Schizosaccharomyces pombe: one gene and its partner. Changing the gene in region 2 together with the main gene of any one other region gives a genetic interaction. Each region holds a gene or a part of one and is shown on either strand. Other genes may lie near its edges.

Region 1 (4,244 bases), 850 kb from region 2:
TTCATTGCAACCGTTTGGCCGGTGATAAGGCTGATAACTGGTGGCTTCGTCATCACCCTAAAGTCTTGGGTATGCAATTTAAGAAGTCTGCTAAGCGTCCTGAGAAATCTAACGCTATTGACTTGTACGTCCTTGATGCCGTTCCTGCTGAAGGTAGTGAACGTGAGCAATGGGAGTCTGCATTCGAGACTATTCCCGAGCCTCTTACTAAAAAGGAGCGGGAGGAATTTTTGGCTACTTGCAAGGATGTTGTCTGTGCCAGTGATGCCTTCTTCCCCTTCCCTGACAACATCTATCGTCTTGCCCAAAGCGGTGTCAAATATGTTGCTGCACCTGGCGGTAGTGTCATGGATCAAGCTGTTCGCGACACTGCTAATGAGTTCAACATGGTCTTTTCCGAGATCCCCTTGCGTTTGTTCCACCATTAATCTTGTTTGTATACCTAATTTTTGACCACTATTACTATGGATATAATTTTTTTTGTTCTGTATATTTGATAGGTTTCCTCAGTTTATACCATCATTTAATAGAGGTATTACAATAAAGACTTCAACGTCTTTTACTTTTTTTGATTTAATATAAAAAAATTTGGCATCTTTTTTGTATCCTGAATTTTGAAAAGATTTCCGATACTCAAGGCATTTTATTTCAGTAATAGTAGGGAAAATATTTTTTATTGTTTAACACGAATGCAACAATTTTATTCGAAAGCTTGGAAATTCACAGCATAACGGGCTCAATAAAGCATTTTTGGTTGCTAAGCTAACATATGAAGTAGAAAGGAAAACGCCATCAAACCTGCTTTTTGGATGTGAGCTTCGCAGTAAACTGACTGAGTTAAACATGTTCTTGGGTGTTTGCAAATTTCTATTAAATTGATTGAGCGTATGTTTTTGCTGCAGTTGATTTGAAGCATAAAAAATCCGGTCAGGGAGGGACTCGAACCCTCGACCTCACGATTAACAGTCGTGCGCAATAACCAACTATGCTACCCGACCTTAGTTACTCACGAGCAAAATTAGTACTATTTAATGGTATTAAAAAGGATTTAATGACTTTAAAATTGTTTTTTTTTTAACCCCATTCTTGCTTGATATATTTCCCATCTTAAAGGGTTACATACTCTTATTCTTTTATCTTTCATTCGATTGTGATTGATTTACCATATCAATAATCATCTTACAAGACCGGAAACTATCAACTATCTGGACGTAAAGTGAAGCATAAAGAAGATGGCATAGAGGACGGAAGGGAATTTTTATTATTATTCCAAGAAACCATGCTAAAATCACGTTTAAACCCTACTCCCTACTAACTCAGTATCTACTGAGTAGCTTTCATAGGTCTCGAACCGAATGGGAAAGACCAACGCTTTCTACATTAGAGAAAGTGGTTCTCTAAAAAATATTTAAAAAAGTATTTCTTTCTTGTTGCTTTTCTTTTTGTTACAGCGAACAAGTGCTCCCTTTAAATAGCTTTTTTGTTTTCATCCTGCCAGTCCTTACAACAATCCCTTACCACTGTGCACCAATACAACCTAAAGTTGAATTTCTGTAACAGTAGGATTTACAAAAGTTCTTTTGATTCTTAATTAGTATACGAGATGTAGCACTTCTACACGATTACTGTGTCCATGTACTATATGGTTGTATGCCTCTCAAAATAAAGATGACATATTTTCAGACTACCTTTTTCAAAAAGAAGGCTTCTCAATTCTACTGCTACAATTTATTCGTACTATCATTTCTATTATTGAAATTTCTCTACCATACATTTTAATTTCACTTGACAAATAGCGATACGTTAATGAACGCTATTACTGAATATGTACGTCGCTGGTACCACTAACACGTATGCGTTAGGAAACGTGATTTTAACCAAAATCTGTATAGAGGACGACTTTACATCGTTCTAGTTTAACACCTTTCAGTTTAAGGAATTTTCTTGATGTATTCAAAAGAAAGAAGGCGTTTATTAGTTTGACTATTCGCTTGATGAAATGGACCCAGGAGTTTCATCGCATCTCAGAACTGCTAGCCTTGATGAAGCAAGAAGGCTTCCAGAGCTTGAGCGTGTTTTAAAATCCGGATGGTTGATAAAGAAAGGACATGCAACTTCTGTATGTATTCATTAACTTAGTTGTCTGAGTAATATTTACGATACGTTTGAGTGGAAAGGGATTTGGAGTATTCTTTAATTTTGTGAAGTGTACTTAGAAGTGAATGATACGTACTCTTAATTCTTTATTGTTCGCTTTTGATTTGGGGATATGATGATGCAAACAGCACCCTACAAGCACTTTGACCAATTGATTTTCAGAATATTCCAATTATTTGCTTCCCGTTTCAGAGTCAATATTTGCACTCATGGTTTTTTTTGTAGTGGATGCTAACAACCTAGACTAAAAAGCAATTATGGGCTGTTCTTCGCAGAGATCAGTTATCTTTTTACAAAGACGAAAAGGTTTGTGAATAAAATGTGCAAATTTCAACGACGCGCTAACAGTCTTCAAGGAGTACAAAACCAAATTTATTTTCCCTACTCAGGATATTTCAGCTGTTGCCTACTACAAAGAAAAATCACCAAAAAGTACGTTAGAATTTTTGATGTTTATATCTAATGTTTAGCTTTTTTCCTGTATTTAAATGAAAAGATAATTCGTCTCATTGCCACTTCAAATGAGGATGCTGAGGAATGGGTTCATGTTCTAAGATCCACAACGGGTTATAGGGCACCGTTTTCAAGACATCCTATCAGTTATATCCTTGCGAACTCTTCATCTCGAACCGAAAGCGAGCCTAACGTTCAGATCTCTGATACTGACTTCGACAATATTTCGACTGAACCTCGTAATCAAACGACTTCTCCTTTAGACTTGGAAACTGGTCAGGGTGACCATTTCTGTACTTCACTTTATGATTTGATACAGTTTGGAAAGTTGAGACCACCAGGTATCAATGAAGAAAATGCAAATTACCCCTTCAACCCACAAGAAGTTAATACGCTGAATAAGCACAGGCATTCGGCTTCCTTACAAAATCTCTATAAACTCTTGGATGAAAATAAAGTTCTTATGCAAGGAACCATTCACTGGCTACATGGAAATTTACATAGGTGGTCCAAGTGTTGGGCTGTTGTTCGTGGATATGGTATGACTATTTACAACACGAACCGAGAGTACAAACCTGTTAAAGTGATACCGATAGCCGACATTCAGGATGTTGCTGAAATAAACGTTCCGGAAAGCTCACACAAATACTTTTTTACCGTAATTACGCAAAACAAACCTATCGAATTTCGCGTTGATAACGAAGATTCACTTATACTCTGGGTTGCTGCACTTAAGACTTCTATTGACAAGGCCAATGGTACTTTTACTGCTTGTTAAAAATGGCTTTTCCATCAAAATATTTGGTGCATAATACGATTCCTCAGCTACTTTTCTAGCTACCTTCTTGTGATTTCCTTTCATAAGACTCCCCTTACCCTTCGTGTACATACGTGTTGATCCGTTCTGTTTCTATATGTTTTGACTATCTCGTTGTTTTTTTTTTGTCTAATAATATTTCCGATAATGTCCGAAAATCGACACAGCTAGTTACAAAAGTGTCTTTCTTGCTCTAATTTAATGATTTTTTTCCTTCGTCATGAGCCAGTTTGTAGTACCATCGTTCGCTCCACTAAACAAACCTTTTGATGAAAATTATTTTCAATGTCATAACTATCCCTAAAATTATCCTAACCGAAAAACACATTTTTTAACTAAAATAAATTATTCTTTTGCTGATCAGTAAAATGCTTGTGCTTTTAAATATGCAATGTTTTTTTTGTCTTCTTCTGTAATCTCTGCTGAAGTAGTAGCTTTAACATCCACAAAACACTGAATTTGCTCAAGTGGCTCAAGTGATTGACCGGACTGCTCGAGTTTTTCTAGAACTGACTCTATAGTAAGCTCTTCTCCAGGAGGTATGGGGACTTTGTTAGAGGGTGTTACACAGTCCATCTTAACATCTTTTCTTAGTACATGGTCAATATCAACGGAAGAAAAAAATGCGACAGATTGTGGAAGCTCGTTGATGCCAAGTCGTTGACAAAAAAACGCACGAGTCCACAAGTTAGCCACCTGTAAGGCAAATGCAACCCGATATTTATCTTTATCTGATGATAAATAACGAACCTCGTCATGAACAGTTAAAGAAAGGCGAGCTTCTAGATAATATTTCTTAATTAAATGATTCATGGAT
Region 2 (3,368 bases):
ACCCAGTCCTGAAAGCTTTGATCGAGCAACCGGTCAGCTTCATCAATTACCATGTAACGCAAATGTTGCAAAGAGAAACTTTCGTCATTTCGGATATGGTCAACTAATCGACCTGGAGTGCTCACCAACACATCAATACGACATTCGTTCTCATCACCATTTAGTTGATATGTTTCATGTCGTAAACTTTTTTGACCAGTCCAGGCACAAACTTGTAAACCGGCACCAGACATATAATACTCAAAGGTTTTAGCAACCTGGACTGTCAATTCTCGTGTGGGAACAATAACCACACAACGCAAACGAGGTACTGTACGGTGACTAAGACATTGGACGATGGGAATCACATACGAAAGAGTTTTACCACTGCCAGTAGCTGCACTTACACAAACATCTCCACCATAACTATACATCGGACCGTGTCTTCCATCTTGTAAGAGTAACGGTAATACAGCAGCCTGAACAGCAAATCCACGGGTGATGTTCTGTTTTTGAAGTCGCTCGACAAGTTTACTAGATATATTTAAAGACGAGAATTCCACAGTTGTATTAGGATCGACAGTTATGGGCTCAGCTAGCCATTTAGGCAAGACAGAGGTGATATTTTTAACATGCGGTTTTGAATCTACAAAGTCTTCAACTGATGGTTGTGGAATTGGTAACAAATCATGAGGTTGAGCTTCAGCATCAACATCCTGCATTTCTATATCTCGCTCATTGTCTTCCTTTCTCGATTGCTTTAAAGCTTGTTGTGCAGCTTGTGAAAAGCTAGCGGATTTCTTCAATCTCTCAATGGCAGCCTCAGAAGCAGTAACATGAGTCTTATTCTCGTCATTAAGCCATTTTCTTTTATTTCTCTTGCTCTTTTTTTCAATTTTAGGCTTCGAATGAGAAGATTTATCTACTTCAACAGACATTGCTCGAATACCAGTACTTGGTACTGGTTAGAAAAAATACTCTTTTGAATATGTGATATGGCTGCTTGTGCTAAACTTGACTATAGCTTAGGAGATTTTAGTAAAGCATAGTATTTATAGTAAGACACTTTATAACCTTGTAAATTCATCGATGATTATTAAAACAACTTGGCATATAGCAATTACAGCCTTACATGGCAAAGATCTATGCTTAAAAGAAATTCAAAAAAAAAAGTCTAATACTAAAGAAGAATGTTCATTCAAACCCATATGTACGTTTCACTAGATCATATTTGGTTTCAGAAATTGCACAAAAAGTGCTTTTAGCAGGGACCGAGCTATCATTGAACATTTCTATTAAATCCGTGGGTTTAAAATATAACTAATACTAGCTATAGATGTAAGAAGCATTTCTCGCAGGACTTTGAGCGTATTGTTCACGAACAAGTATTTAGCAAATATAGATGACTAGAACGTTTTGCTTTCAACTTTTCAATGTTAATATAAAAGGCATCTGAATATTTAGAATAAATATCTAAACATTTGCTAAGCTGAGTTACACCATGAGTTAACGTTTGAAACGCGATATCAACACATTAGCTTCTTGATTTCGAATCCAGTATATATAGCATCCCTTGAATGTTTTTGTAAGATTCCTCAGTTTCTATTTATTTTTATAAATAATTGAACAGTTTCATCGTGAAAACATACTTATCTGGTTATTAGTGTCCTGAGCTTAGCATAAACCAATATGTCAAGACTACAGATACAACTGAAATTAGCAGCCTCAAGGATAGAAATATTAAGACAAAAGGAAGAGGCTTTAGCCAAACAAGCTAGAAGGAATGTTGCTTTGGGCTTAAAGTCGTATTCACCGGCTTTGGCCAAAGCCCGCATTGAACCTTTAATTATGCAGGATATCTATATTGAGTTGTTAGAATTGCTTCAAGTTGATGTAGAAATACTTGCCAATAGGTGCGTAGTGTTAGAGAAACGCGCGTTTAATGATTCTATGTCGTTTAAATCTTCTTTGTATCATGTTATGGCTGCTGCACCTCAGTTACAGATTAAAGAATTGCGATTTGTAAGTCAACAATTAAAGATAAATTTTTAAAATTTAGTTTTTTATAACTAACTTGTTTATTATTTATAGGTTCATGATTTTCTAGTAAAATTGTATGGCAAGGAGTTTGCAAGATTAAGTGACCCTGATCTAGCTACTAATGATACTGCTGTAAGTTTCTGTTATTTATTTTCATTGAAAATAAAAAAACGCGCTAAAAAAAGTTCGTATGCTAATCAATTCTAGTTTTACCAACTTTTATACCCTCCTATTCCAAAGGATGAACTAGTCGAAGCCTATAGAAAAGAGTTAATTCGTACTTATTTTCCAAATGATTATCCTAAAGAAGCTAATAAAGATATCCCATCTTCTGCTGAAGCTGATACAATGTTGAACCTCGAATCTTCTGAGAATCGTGAACAACCTACTTCATTGAAAGAAGAAAACACTCAAGAAGATGATGAAAAAGTGAATGGGAATCTAGCTAACATTTCAAAACGCGCTGAACCTCAGAATAATGGATCAACAAATGCATCCTCACTGCAATCCTCTAACTATTTACCCACAAATCCAACATTAACACATTCTAATAAAGCTCCTTCTTTTGAAGAGCTTGCTGCTCGTTTAGACCGTCTAAAACATTTATAAATATACCATTCTTCATGTATCGCATCTCTGTTTGTATCTACAAACATCCTTTTTCCCTTTTTAATGGTCTTTTTACGAAAAAACAAGATCATGTTTGATTAGTAATTTTCTTCTAGGAGATTCCTTGCCAACTATAAGTTGGGTGTCCTGTATCGACATCGATGCCATTTCTTGCTCATTCAATCGTTGCACTGCGATCTCCATGCCTAACCTCATTATTATAAAACGATAACTATTACCACTCGTTCCCATAATCCTTACTTACGCTTTAAAACCAACTTATTTGCTCTTCTTGTTTAGTAATTTTATAATATGTCAAATTTATTAGTGCAGGTTTCCAAGACCGGCCCATCTTCCGTTTTGCAAGTAATAACGAAGGAAATTCCCAAACCAGCACCCAATGGCTTGGTTATTAAGAATGCATATGCAGGATTGAATTATATAGATACTTATTTGCGAACCGGTTTGTATACTGCTCCTCTTCCTTATATACCTGGTAAAGAGGCAGCCGGTGTTGTTGCTGCAGTCGGCGATAAAGTTGAAGCAGATTTCAAAGTGGGTGATCGAGTGGTCTACCTTACACCATTTGGTGCGTATGCCCAATATACCAACGTTCCCACCACATTAGTTAGTAAGGTCTCTGAAAAGATTCCATTGAAGATCGCTTCTGCTGCTCTCCTGCAAGGCCTTACTGCTTATACACTTATTGAAGAAGCTTATCCTGTGAAAACGGGAGACAC

The links. Genes that interact genetically often act in the same process or in processes that back each other up.
Region 1: mutations in ist1 (region 2) and opy1 together harm fitness less than expected from each alone (positive genetic interaction), as found in Schizosaccharomyces pombe (one large-scale study listed by BioGRID).

The regions. Positions count from the first base shown.
Region 1 is NC_003421.2:944,016-948,259, reverse strand, and holds opy1 (protein opy1), read left to right. Parts: upstream 1-1,875; 5' UTR 1,876-1,999; coding exon 2,000-2,119; exon of another isoform or gene 2,120-2,400; coding exon 2,401-2,463; exon of another isoform or gene 2,464-2,513; coding exon 2,514-2,589; exon of another isoform or gene 2,590-2,627; coding exon 2,628-3,388; 3' UTR 3,389-3,744; downstream 3,745-4,244. Other genes in the region: ade10 (bifunctional IMP cyclohydrolase/phosphoribosylaminoimidazolecarboxamideformyltransferase), read left to right, coding at 1-428; pog1 (DNA polymerase), read right to left, coding at 3,788-4,244. UniProt on the Schizosaccharomyces pombe protein: Binds phosphatidylinositol 4,5-bisphosphate (PtdIns(4,5)P2/PIP2) at the cell membrane.
Region 2 is NC_003421.2:1,795,541-1,798,908, reverse strand, and holds ist1 (MVB sorting pathway protein), read left to right. Parts: upstream 1-1,658; 5' UTR 1,659-1,668; coding exon 1,669-2,001; intron 2,002-2,014; exon of another isoform or gene 2,015-2,070; coding exon 2,071-2,151; exon of another isoform or gene 2,152-2,226; coding exon 2,227-2,628; 3' UTR 2,629-2,868; downstream 2,869-3,368. Other genes in the region: ATP-dependent RNA helicase Dbp6, read right to left, coding at 1-917; zta1 (NADPH quinone oxidoreductase/ARE-binding protein), read left to right, coding at 2,941-3,368.